Cricetulus griseus: one gene and its partners. The protein of the gene in region 3 interacts with the protein of the main gene of each other region in a pairwise test. Links are inferred from orthologs where the notes say so. Each region holds a gene or a part of one and is shown on either strand. Other genes may lie near its edges.

What was found.
Region 1: the proteins of Enoph1 (region 3) and Rnf41 interact in binary tests that used the Homo sapiens proteins (3 or more experiments, as listed by UniProt). The link is inferred for Cricetulus griseus from reciprocal best matches to the Homo sapiens genes ENOPH1 and RNF41.
Region 2: the proteins of Enoph1 (region 3) and Rps27 interact in a two-hybrid assay, tested with the Homo sapiens proteins (2 studies listed by BioGRID and IntAct). The link is inferred for Cricetulus griseus from reciprocal best matches to the Homo sapiens genes ENOPH1 and RPS27.

Annotation. Positions count from the first base shown.
Region 1 is NW_023276806.1:129,471,072-129,476,151, forward strand, and holds the start of Rnf41 (E3 ubiquitin-protein ligase NRDP1), read right to left. Parts: upstream 3,089-5,080; 5' UTR 2,825-3,088; intron 1-2,824. UniProt on the Homo sapiens protein: Acts as E3 ubiquitin-protein ligase and regulates the degradation of target proteins. Polyubiquitinates MYD88. Negatively regulates MYD88-dependent production of pro-inflammatory cytokines.
Region 2 is NW_023276806.1:64,344,534-64,348,512, reverse strand, and holds Rps27 (40S ribosomal protein S27), read right to left. Parts: upstream 2,068-3,979; 5' UTR 1,938-2,067; coding exon 1,932-1,937; intron 1,622-1,931; coding exon 1,513-1,621; intron 1,296-1,512; coding exon 1,185-1,295; intron 874-1,184; coding exon 845-873; 3' UTR 789-844; downstream 1-788. Other genes in the region: Nup210l (nuclear pore membrane glycoprotein 210-like), read left to right, coding at 62-159.
Region 3 is NW_023276807.1:162,164,849-162,169,130, reverse strand, and holds part of Enoph1 (enolase-phosphatase E1), read right to left. Parts: intron 4,063-4,282; coding exon 4,022-4,062; intron 3,608-4,021; coding exon 3,506-3,607; intron 2,351-3,505; coding exon 2,148-2,350; intron 53-2,147; coding exon 1-52. UniProt on the Homo sapiens protein: Bifunctional enzyme that catalyzes the enolization of 2,3-diketo-5-methylthiopentyl-1-phosphate (DK-MTP-1-P) into the intermediate 2-hydroxy-3-keto-5-methylthiopentenyl-1-phosphate (HK-MTPenyl-1-P), which is then dephosphorylated to form the acireductone 1,2-dihydroxy-3-keto-5-methylthiopentene (DHK-MTPene).

The DNA.
Region 1 (5,080 bases), on a different chromosome or scaffold from region 3:
GTTCGAGGCCAGCTCTGGCTATATAGCAAGTTTTAAACCAACCTAGGCTACATGGCCAAACCTTGTCTCAAACAAAAACAAAAAAATCTGGGCTGTAGATGCTGCTCAATAGTAGAGATTTACAATACCCAGCATTTACAGGTCACAGGGACCCAATCCTTAGTACCACAGGAAAACAAAAACAAGAAACCTGAGTTGGACATGATGGTGCATGCCTGTAATGCCAAGACTTGAAAAACTCAGAAGACAGTGAGTTTCAAGCCAGCTGGACTACACAGAGACCCTCCTGTCTCAATAAATCAAGAAGTCTATTTCTAAATTGTGTTCAGACCCAGTCTGAAATAATACTTAAAATCAGGCAAACAGTGGGAAAGCTGATGGACACCTGCAATACTAGCACCTGGGATTGAAGGAAGGAGGATCAGGAATTCAAGGCTAGCCTGGCCTATATGAGACCCTGTCTCAAAAAAATTAAAAAGTTCGGGCCGGACACTGGTGGCGCATGCCTTTAATCCCAGCACTCGGGAGGCAGAGGCAGGTGGATCTCTGTGAGTTTGAGGCCAGCCTGGTCTCCATATGGAGTGTCAGGATAAGCTCCAGAGAAACCCTGTCTCGAAAAACCAAAACAAACAAAAAACACTGTATAAGCTGGACAGTGGTAGCGCACGCCTTTAATCCCAGCACTCGGGAGACAGAGGCAGGCGGATCTCTGTGAGTTCAAGACCAGCCTCGTCTACAGAGTTCCAGGAGAGCCAGGGCTACACAGAGAAACCCTTTCTTGAAAAACAAAAAAAACAAAACAAAACAAAAAAATCCAGGTACTGCCTTCCACGTGGAAAACATTACTTTACACATAGACACCCAAGAATGCTGCTATAGGTGCAAAATGAGAAATACTCTGGAAGGAAATCGGGCTTTGAAAAAGGAGGGAAGAGGAGTGGGGCCTGAGGCAACGGGTGATACAAAAAAACAAGGTCAGGCATGGTGGAGTCTGTAATCCCAACACCTGGGAGGCTGAGACAGGAGGATCACTGCAAATTCAAGGTCAGCAGGGACTACAGGATGAGACCCTTCCTCAAATCATTGGTAAGGAGGGAAAAGTAGAGATGTTGCTCCAGGGTGGGCAACTTGTTCAGATATAGCAGTTAAACTGGGCTGACTAGATGCATGCCTACCGAGATAGAACCAAGTCCAAGTTTCCAGTGCCCTGAGAATTTGATTCAAAGAGGTACAGGAATGTTAACCAAACTCCTACTAATCAAACTCCTGTATCATATATATATATTTTTTTTTTTCAAGGGCTATGTTGGGATAAAATAATGGTGATTTTTACAAAGAATACAAATTCTCCAGAATATGGTACTTTGTTCATTAGTTCACCGTGCTCATCATCAACTACATGTTCACATGTCCTCTCAGAAGGAGAGATGATGTAAAACCTGGCACTTTCCCTTCTTCACAGTCCAGAAGAGGAGTGGTGGAGTTGATGTTCTTCTCCTCCCCATTTCCCAACAAGCTGGCACACACCTGTATCTCAAAAAATGCTTCCAGGAAGAGGTTCTATAGGCAATGCTCGGTCTCCTAGGGTCAAGACCCAGACCCAGAAATCAAAAAGCTTCCCGTGATGGGCAAATTAATAGGGGTTAATCTAAAAAAATAGATAAAGGGTTATTGACCAAGCAAAGAAGCAGGAGAGAGAGAGAGGTGTCTTGGGTTATTCCAGTCCTAGCTCTGCCACCCACCAACTTCAAATAAGGCATTGCAACCAGTTTCTCCAACTGTCAAACAGACGATGACATTTGCCCTATCTTACATACAGCAAATCAAACGACAAAATAAATAGGAAAGGAGATTCCAGACTGCTATTAGTTGTAGCAACAGAATGGCACAATAAATTCACAATGAGGACCAGAGGAAATGTTTGGAATTGCTTGTTCCCCCTTTTCAACTACTGGGAAGCAGGCCCTGTCACAGGGTCTACTGGTGACAGAGTATCAACATTAATGTACCCCTCTCCTTCCCTTACCACTATCCAATCCCATTCCTTCTTAGGGAAATACTAGCAGCCAGCAACACTGTAATTAGCTAACACTATTGTATAAGAAGTACCTGCCAAGATTCTCACAGGTCAGTCTCTGAGAACAGTGGCCTTGGTAACCGCCACAATTGCTACCAGTTGAGATGAAGCTAGTTTTTTAAAGGAAAAGTGTGTGCCGATCCCAAACATGCTCAATCCTGCTCGCTTTCGGCTCTCTCCTGTTCCTACTCTCTACCCACCAACTGTTCTGCCTCCTTGGGCTGGGGTGGGCTTCGTATAAAGCGAGTGGATGGATCGTGCGTGCGAGGGAGCGGGGCTGCAAATCATCCAGGGGCAAGGATGTCAGGAATGTAAGAGTCCTCCACGGAGGGGTGGGAGGGGAGAGGAGCGGCGAAGGAATAAAAGAGAAAGACAAGGCTGCCAAAGACAAGGCATGGGAAAGAAGCCAAGCTATGGCGCTTGGAGGGCGGAGGTTTGGGTTCCGTGGCTCCTGCCAAGGCTGGCCCCCAGAACGTTCCCCTCCTCGCCTCCAGGCCCGTCAATCATTGCCATTTAAACTCCACGTTGTCCCCTAGGCCGAGCCGTCTGCTCCTCCCCGGTCCTCGGGCCAGCCCAAGGCCACTCCCGCACTTCCCAAGGCTTCCCTGCTCCAGAGGACCTTCCCAAGCTCCTGAGCCCCCAGCTCGCCTCCCGACTCCTCCCAGCAGAGCTCCCTTCCTCCATCCTCCTCCCCCCCTCCACCCTTCCTCTCGACCCCCAGCACCTCCGACCCAGGCGCCTACCCACCGGGACCTCGCCCCCTCCGCTCCGCTCCGCTTCGCTCCCCTCCCCTCCCGGGTGAGAAGCTCGTTCAGGAGCGTTACGCACCGCCCTGGACACTGAGTGGGTTCTCCGGACGCGGGGCCGGGCTGCAGCTGAGGCCACGGCGGCCGCGGAGTGGCCTGGGTGCCGGCTCTCAGCCTCTCCCCGTAGGGGAAGGGGAAGGGGAAGGAAAGGATGGGGAAGAAGGTTCCAACCACTCCTGCTCGTCTCGGACTGACCCTTTTGCCACGCCCACCGCTGCTACGCAACGGGGCGGAAGTCCGTCACCAAACCCCGCCCCTTTGTTTAACTCGGCGGCGACGACCGGACGCTCCAAGCGAGCGGCCCCGGTTCGCTAGACCTCCGCTCTTGCCCGGAAGTTGTTAGAAACGGACCCCCGGCGGGATTTGATAGCCATTTGGGAGGGAGGACTCTATGCTCTCCAGGTGTAACGATCTGGGGCGACCGTGGATGTACTGCCCGGCCATGTCACTTCGTGTGCGATAACGCAGGTCTCGGGCGGGCGCTGCAGCTGATGCAACGTCGGGGCGAGATGGCCTCGGGACAACCGGTCTGCTACTGCTGCTGCTGCTGCTGCTGCAGCGTAACCTGCTGCTGTCCTCCCTGCCCCTCAGTTTCCAGAGCTGCTGTGGTCAGCATCGCGGAGCCTCCCGGCCTCGTGTCATGGGAAGGGACACAGCGGTTAACTCGGAAGGCTGCGGGGTGGGGAGGGGGGGAGGGAGGGAGGCAGGGAGGCAGGGTCACACCGCAAAGCTCTGACCCAGGGTGTTGTAAGGGTCGCCCGCCTCCCGGCCACATTCGATGGCTCTTGAGAAACTCAATCGTGCCCTGAAACACTGTGAAGGGTTTGGTTTCCTGAGGTTGCAGCTGCGCGATTGGGGGGTGTGGGTGGGAGAGAACCTGGACTTGGAAGTCACCGTGGAGCTTAAAGCGCTCTGCTATATAGGTAAGGGATCGAGCAAGGCAAGAAACGAGATTACATTTACCCCTTAGGCTAACCTGGTGCCAAACAGTATTTGTTATGTTGTCTTTTTAAAAAATTCACATTAGTGCATTTGTAACTCGTTTGTTTGTAAGAGGTAGTTGCCTTTGAGGACTGACAAGTACCCCGAGGGCACTAAAGGTGCTGGGTGTTTTAAGATCCAGTGAGAAAAGAAAATAGGAACCGGACATGCCCTGCGAAAAGACTTGCTTTTTATGTCCCGGATTCCATTTCTTCCAAAGGAGGCTGAATCTGCCTAATGTCTTTTCTAAAGCATAAATGCCACTTGATCCAGAGGCCTGGGCAGAACTGTTCAGTGTATTAAAGATGAAGGCCCCTATGTCTAAGTTAATGCCATATCCTAGGCATCGCTTTTTACCTAACTCTACATTTTCATGTATAAAACGGAATTTATATGTTTAAGAATAGCCGAGCAAAGAAGCGAAGAGAGGGGCTGGCATTCAAACTTCTGCCCGCTGCATTCCTAAGCCCTTGGACCTTTTTCCATTGTGCCACTACTTGAAAAGGAAAAAAAAAAAAAAAAAAAAACCCACAATCTTGCGAGCCTGGAGCGCCTTTTTCTGAGCCGAACTGAGGCGCCCCCTGGCGGTCGGTCCATCTTCTCCCGCGCGGAACTCATCTTCGTCGAGGCTCCTTTAATTCCTAAAACCTCCCCGTTCGTGGCGCGTGAATACCGGCGCCTGATTGGGTGGGCGGCGGCTGGAGGCGGGGTTTTTGGAGGGCAGATCAGCTCCCATTGGCTAGGGAAGGTCAGGGGACACTTCCGGGAATGTGTGCGCTCCCGCGTTCCACTCCGCAGCATCCGGCGGCAGCCAGCCCCCTGGCTCCCCCTGCGGGTGGCTTGGCGGTGTGCACAGTCCCGCCTGCTGGCTGGGTGGGTGGTGGGCTGTGAATGGGGGAGGGGACCGGGCGAGCTCTGGGTGTGGGGATGAGGGTGCAGGAAGATCCGCCGAGTAGGATTCTCTCCCCTGGCGCTGCTCCGGGTTCCCTAAGAGTCTCCTTGAGCCTCCCTGCTTCGGAGCGTGAGACCGAGAGCATCCTGACCGAGGGGCCTCGCAGCCCCTCAGCATCTTATCCAGAGATCTCTAAATTCTGATCGTGAAGTACGAGGCCCCCAGGGAAGTTCGTTTCTAACCTCCTAGAAGGGTTAGAGAGGGACCAAGGCTGCCGGATCCCCCCCCCGCCGCCGCCTGGTGTGGTGGGTAGGCCAAGCGGGG
Region 2 (3,979 bases), on a different chromosome or scaffold from region 3:
TCAGATGTATGTGAACTTATATATTTGCTTACTTGCCTTCACTATCACCCTTTTCTTCCAGGTTCTTATACAACATGTTCCCCCCCTCACTTCCTGAACCCACAGCCACCTCTAGTACAGAGTCGGCTGCAACACTGGTTATGGAGTATAAAGCACTAACCTAAATATGAGCACATGTCAAAGAATGGAGGAGACACCTAATCCTGCAGAAGGATTAGTATAGAGTAGCAAACTCTATACTAACCTCCAAAACAAGTTTTCTATTAACCATAAATAAAGGAACTTAAGCGGTTTGATTCCAATTCCTGTGTTGAAAAGATTAAGTTTCTGGGGCCCCACCAAGCCCTGGGTTTCTGTTCCTAGCACCACATAAATTAATATGGTGGTGCACACCTACAATGCCATCATCACTTGGGAGGTATCCCTTGCTGTAGTGACTTGAAGCTATGATAAGACCCCGTCTAAACTAAAGAACACAAGTACAGTAATCCTGGCTGCTCTGAACTTGACTGCTTCTGCTTCTAGTAGTGTGTAGCACCAACCCCTGAATGACAACTGTCACACACCTTTGTATGACAGCGCTTCCCTAGACAGTGAATAAATAGTAAAAAGACATTAGGAGAACACAAAGCCCAATTAACTATACAGTTCCACCAGTTTATGAACCCAGATGCAAATGCCTGAAATGAACTCTTGGCCACTTACTTGACCCAAAAGGACCACTCTTCTGGTTGCCCTGGAATACTTGAGGCATAACTTCCTACCAGTTAAACAAGACAGACACTATATATATCCAAAATGTGTTTATTGGGATGGTTCCCACTCATCTTGAATCAGGTGCTTTTCAGTGCTGCTTCCTCCTGAAGGAGCATCCTGGAAGGAAAAGAAAAAGGTGTTACATCATGAAGCCCCTGCTTCATCTGCAGAATGCTGATTGAAGAACATCTGTTCTCAATCCCACTGTCTACTTCCCATTTATACACATCTCTTTCTCCAGTTCCTATCATCTGGAAACAAATGAAACCCTTTTAACAAAACCAGGCCACCCCAGCTTTAAGCAATACTGCTTTGAGATCAATACAACTATTAATAATGCCTACTTTAACAAGAATGCAGCTTACTTTACTAGTCTGGAGGTTTGCATGCTACATGATCTGTCAGTACCCAACATGAAGACCACTTACCTTCTGTCAGCCTTGCTTTTCCGCCTGTGGGCTGACAGAGGACAGTGGAGCAGCCAACACACAAGACTACCGTTTGTGCATGGCTAAAGACCGTGGTGATTTTATAGCATCCTGAAAGAGAGAGAAATCAACAACAAAAAATGTTAGCTGCTTTCAGTTTTTCTTCAAGTTACCATCCCTTTACAGCTTCCTAAAACAGTGCGGTCGCTGTCACTAATCCAAGCACTCCTTCTAAGATGTAGATCCAAGTCCGTCTTTTTGAATTCTCAGAAAGTCCTCGACTGCTGATGATCAGTGCTTTCCCCGCTCCAGCAAACCACCTCCTCACCTGGGCACTTCACATCCATAAAGTAGGAATTGGGGCTCTGCACCAGGCGCTTTTTCTTGTGTTTCCTCTTTTCCTCTTCTGGAGAGGGATGAAGGAGATCCTTTGCGAGCTACGAGGGGCAGAAAGGCAGAGATTTAGAAGGCAGGGATAAAAAGAGGCGACGGCAAACGGTGCCCGCTGTCACACACCGGGGAGCACTCGCCCCTTGCCGCCCCTGGTGTCTGCGTAGCTGGGCCGCCATCTTATCTCCTCTCCGCTCCCATCTACGCGGGTGGCCCGTGGGCCGCCGCGGCTCTGGAATTACTGCCCTAAGGTACGCGGAGCGTAAGTGTGGCCCCTCTACGATCTGCAATCAGCGCGAGAGGAGAATGTAGACACAAGAGCGTGCTCCCTGCCGAAACCAGGACCAAGGAACTCACAGGCATGTTCTCGTAGGGAGGTCGTCACCGCCGGAAAGGAGCGAAAGCGGAAATCCTGTTCCTTATATCCGGTAGGGCACAGGAAGTGACGAGCCCTTGTTGTTCTGCCATCTTGGGAAGGTCGGGTTTGCCGTTCGAATGCAAGGGTTGCGCCGTGGGCTGCCATTTTCAGAAGGTCTGTAAAGGCTCCTCGTGTCGCCGGTGCATAACCATGGTGAGAGAATTAGCTTCTATTTTGAGTTCAGGGTTTTGCAGGTGTCAAAAAAAAAAAAAAAAAGGATAGTTTAAAATTTCCCTACTACGCTTTGACAGCTGGAGTGTAATGTGAACAGCAGAGGTGAACACCAGCGATTTACTGATGTTCTTTTACATTTTGCAATTGGCTTAATTTACCCTGATTAACAAACAATTCTATATGTAATACATTTTAAATAAAATATTCGCTTGGAGTTGGGGGTGTATTGCATTAATAAACTTCCTTCTTAGCGTGCACAAAGCCCTGAATTTAATCCCCAGCATTTTGTAAACCGTGTAGGGCAGGGCAGGGCGTAGTGATGGTGTCTGTGGCTCAAGGCTGTAATCCCAGCACTTCCAAGACCCCGAGGATAAATCAGAATCATCCTGGGCTCCATAGCAAATCTGAGGTCAAATGTGGACTACAGGAGACCTGTCTGGGAAAAAAAAGCCCTGTTCATATTTGCCCCACTGCAACTAACCCTATTGTTTACCATTGTTTTGTTGTTGTTGCTGTTTTCCAGTGCTAAGGATACAAACTGATTTTGTATTCTTCCAATCCCTAACCTTTGAAGAATAAAATCAAATATCTATGTAAGTCTTGACTGATGCATTGTTTTTAACATGCTAATTAAAGACCACATGAGGTCACACCTTTTATCGCTGCATTCCAGCACAGCCAGAACTAGACTTTGTCTCTAAAAACCAAATAAAAATAAAACAAGTATGCTAAAATTTTTTGTTTTTTTGTTTTGCTTTGCTTTGTTTTACAAGTATGCTAATTAACTATGAAGCTACTGTTGCTATTATCACATTTGTACAGATCCCTGTGTTGCTGCTCAGAGAAGTTAAATTGTCCAGTCCAGATATGTTGGCACCTTTAATCCAGCACTGGGGAGGCAGAGGCAGGTGGATTGTGAATTCCAGTGTTTCAGCCAGGTGGTGATGACTCACACATTTAATCCCAATACTTGGGAGACAAAGGCAAGCAGTCTCTTGAGTTTGAAGCCAGCCTGGTCTACAGAGAGAGTTACAGGACAGCCATAGCTACACAGAGAAACCTGTGCTAAGAAAACAAATTAAGCCGGACATTGGTGGCGAAAGCCTTTAATCCCAGCACTCAGGAGACAGAGGCAGGCAGATCTCTGTGAGTTCAAGACCAGCCTGGTCTACAAGAGCAAGTTCCAGGACAGCCTCGAAAGCTACACAGAGAAACCCTGTCTCAAAAATAAACAAATAAATAAATAAATAAATAAATAAGAAAAACAAAAAGGAAAAAAGACAGTGTCTTTAGTCCCAGGCTGACCTCCACCAAGAAAGTGCTCGGGTTGCAGGCATGTTGTGATATCTAGTGTGTGTGCTGTGGGGAGGGTGTAGTGTTAGTAATCTAATCCAGGGCCTTTTATCATTTGTAGAAAACAATCTAAGCCATTGGTTCTCAACCTTCTAATGCTTCAACCCTTTAGTGCAATTCCTCATGACCTCCAACCATAAAGTTATTCCATTGCTACTTCATAGCTGTCATTTTGCTACTGTTATGAATTGTAATGTAAATATCTGTGTTTTCCAATGGTCTCAGGCAACCCCTGTGAATGGGTCATTCCACCCCTAATGGGGTTGTGACCCACAGGTTGAGAACCCCAGTCCTGGGTCTTCTGGTTTTCATTCACAATATTTTCCCTCATCCAAGAACTCTTCTCTACTAGATATTTGCATGTTGTCTTTCAGATTTCAGCCTAAGTGTCATTCCCTCCCAAATTACTCTGTCCTGGGAATAATATGCTAAAACTGGTTCTCACTGATTTCCAAGACTA
Region 3 (4,282 bases):
CATTCCAGCCTCTCTCCACCTTCTGACAGCTGGGACTACGTCCGCGAAGAACCTGGAGGAAAACCCAGCAAGTTACAAAGCAGAAATACACCATGGAGTCAGATGAAAATCAGACAGTACATAGACCATGCCTCGACTCACAAGGTAACCTGAGAAGCAACTCCATGAAACAGGAAATTCCTGTGGTTGTAATAAACAGGTCACTGGAGTTCCTGGATCACAGATTAGAAGCAACAAGTTTGGTAGAGAGAATGGTATTTGACTTTAATAAAAAAAAAGCATGAAGGGATGAAATGAGAAAGTAACTAGTGGGTAGAGAGATGTCTCAAGAGTTAAGAGCACTGGCTGCTCTTCCAAAGGTCCCTGGTTCTGTTCCCAGCACCCACATAGCAGCTCACAAATGTCTGTAACTCCAGTCCTAGGGAATACAATGCCCCCATCTGACCTCCATGGTCACCAGGCATATATGTGGTATACTTACTTACATGCAGGCAAAAAACACAAATAAAATAAATCTGAGATTAAATTAAATGTTTTAATTCTCAAGGAGCTAAAATAAAAATATGTACAATATTGTATTACTTAATTGATGCAATTTATAAGAAAAGCCTGATTTACCTTCACTGTGCTTTGAGAAACCATGAAAATGCTTTTCCCCCATTTTAAAAAAAAATATCTATTTTAGTATGTTTTTTATATATATGTAGGAGTATTTCTTGCATATACATAAGGAAACACCCTGAAATCTCAATGCCTTCTTTTAAAAGGCAGGTCCTTGTATCAGACAAAAACATCTCATTAAACAAAACACAAGAAATACAAGACACACAAGCAGCTGAAAATGGCCTTGAATCTGAGAATTAACCTAAGGCAATTTACCAAAATCCTTAAGAAAAAAAAAGAACCTCTAAGGTCAGTTGAATGTGGAAGCACACATCTATAAACCCCAGCACTGAGAAAGCTAATGCAAGAAAATTCCAGTTTGAAGTCAAGCTGGGCTACACTACAAGTCCAGGCCAGCTAGGATAGACATAAGTTGAGACCCTATCTTTAATTGTTTACATCATGTGTGTGTGTATGTGTCTGTTCGTGCATATACCTGCAAGTGCAGACACACACCTGCACACACAGGCACATGCCATGGCACACATATCAAGGTCAGAGGTCAACCTGCAGAAGCTGTTTATCTCCTTCCACAATGTGGATCCTAGGGATTGAACTCAGGTTGTCAGCCTTGGCAGCACTCAGCCCTGCTCACTAAGCCCTCTTACTGGCCCAAACTGTTATGCTTTGTTTTTCAATCTCAGTAATACAGTACTCAGCAGGAAAGCTAGCAGAAATCCCATGACTGAGACTCCAAGATTATGAAGGTGCTCCAAAAGCTAGGGAAGTAAACTGTGCCCACGAGTAACTGCAAATAACAGGATTTCAGTGTTCTTACTTCTCTTTCTGATTTTGCTTTATGTGTCTGAGTGTTTTGCATGCATAGTGTGTGTATGTGCCTAATATCTGTGGAAGTCAGACTGGGTCCCCCAGGACTGGCAACTGCTGAGCCGGCTGCTGAGCCCTCTCACTTCTCTTATCAACTACTGAGAGAAGCAGACCAAGAATGCTGTCACTGTGTGAATGTCACTGGTATGAGTGACACAGATTAAATATGAATTAGCTCACAGAAGGTTCAGGTATCACAGACATACAACAGTATACCAGGCTGGAGTTGCCATGTTCTAGGACACTGTTTTAAAATAGAACTGAAAGTCTTTCACCTACCCATTAAACCCCAGATCTGGGGGACCTAAGCTGGCGACTGAGAGAGAGAGAGAGAGAGAGAGAGAGAGAGAGAGAGAGAGAGAGAGAGAGAGAGAACAATCATTTGCTACAATAAAAGCAATATGAATTTTATCTTTTTTTTTTTTTTAAGATAGGGTCTCTCTATGTCATCTTGGTCTGCCTAGAACTCAAGAGATCTGCCTGCCTCTGCCTCCTAAGTGCTAGGATTAAAGGTGTGTAGTATCGTGCCCAGCAACTTATCTGTTTTTACTTATCTGTTTTACTATTTTACTGCAGTCTACAAGGGAGAAAGAGAACTAGTGAGGGGTGTATGTGGACTTGGGGCCTGTGAAACATTCTATCATTACAGCACATACTCTGCCTTCATGCGGCCAGCTGTGAAAGCTGCCTTCCACATGTGGCCCTGCAGCTGTTTGAGCGCTGTGGTCTTCCGATCATGAGACATCTGCCAGTACACATTATCCACCACGGCCTGGATCATCTGCTGCAGGTCATCCCCAGCATTTCCTGACGCCACAGGGATTGGAACGGCCCCATCCAGGTGTGCATCTTCTTCAGCCTTTAAATCAGAAACAGATCAAGTTTATTCATTTAAAGAGCTATACACATATGCTTGCACAAGCATACACCCATACGTGCATGTATTTTAAAAAGATACAGCAAAACCAGGAAGATCAGTTTTTTCCAACTATCAATTATCCTGAGAACTGCTAAAAATTATTCTTAAATGAATGATCTGGCAAAAAGGGATCGATCGCTAGGTAAAAAGCACTTGCCACTAAGCCTGTTGGCCTGAGTTCAATTTCGGGGACCCTCATGACCAAAAGGAGAGAAATGACTTTCTCTAGTTGTGCTCTGACCTCCATGAGTGCACCATGGCACGTGTACATACACATATACATAATTAAAACAAATTCATATACTAGGACTTTGTAACAATGCAATGCATTAAATGAACATAAAATATGTATGTATGTATGTATGGAACCTCCTTTTTGAGACAATAAAGATTAAGGGGAGTATTTCAGATTAACCTCAAGTTATCCAGAAAACTCAGCAAACCCAAATACTGCATGATTCAATGGATGGCATGATTATTTCTAATTCTAACTTCTTGCCATAAATAAAAGACACATGGACAGCATTCTACAATCCAGTGTAGGAAATGTACAATCCAGTGTAGGGCTGCACAACATGAAGATCTTTGCCACTGAAGTCAGCACACCATGCTGAAGAAGTTCACAGACTGGCTAGAGAGTGGCAGAAAGCAGTCTGTAGACTGGGCCAAGGGTAAACTGGTTGAGAAGTCTGGTAGGGTGACAAGATTCAAGGACCCATGAGCACTGTAAAGAGGGCAGTTTCATGCCATAAGGTGGGACAATAGGAAATGACAAGGTGCTGTCACTTGGTGACATATACGAAATGTGATGACATTGCACAAGACATTTTGTATTCCACCAGAAAGGGCTAATTTTACAAATACACAAGGCTTTCAGGCTATTTAAACAGTTGCTGAAAGAAGCAATTCTGCAGACAACGAATTGCTATGACTTGCTTGTTTTATTACAGGCTGTGAATTGCTAGGCAGGCAAGTCACTGCAGCTTCTAGACCAGGATCAAGGACACTGATTTCCAGTGTGCTCACAGCATGTTCCAAGTCTCTAGGCATCCTCCACTCCGAGACTCTGGGAATGTTGAAGAGGGAAGTCCTCACCTGTTTCCTCAGCAGGCTGACATCTTGCTGACATTCCTCCTCATCCCAGTGAGTCTGCAGGTACTCCTTAACATTCTCTTTGATGTAAGGGAATAAAGTGTCCTGGGGGAAGAAGGGAGGGAGACAAAAAAAAAATGTTATTTTTTAAATTGCACCAAATGATCTGTGTTTTATAATCTCACCTTAACTAACAAATTCAACAATGGAAGTCTCAACGGAAATTACTGCTGTGGGTCTCCCAGTGGGACAGGAAAGGAGACTAAGAAACAGGTATACTGGTCCAGCTTGTATTTATGAAGTATTATTGAAATTCAGCGACAATCATTTATTTTACATAGTCTCTGGCCACAATGGCAGAGCTAGGACCATTTAGCCCACAAAGCCTAAAACCAGCTCACCAGCCATTTACACAAATTAACTCTCAGACTATACTGTTAGACCATAGTCTTTTCGTTTGCTCTTTGCTTTTGTTTCGTTTTTATTATTTATTTTTATTTTGTGCGTATGGGTGTTTACCTTTGTATGTTTGCCTTCAGAGGATGTCAGATCCCCTGGAACTGAAGTCAGACATTATGAGCCACCATGTGGATGTGGTAACTGAACGTGGGTCCTTCGCAAGACCAGCAAGTACTCTTAACCACTAGCCCTCTCCATCCCCAGGCCAGACTCTTGAGGCATGGATTGACAGTGCCTTACTCAAAGTACACCATGGTATATGACTGGTATATACATGACAATGGTGGCCACATGGCAATGTAGAAAGGAAATAAATGGTTT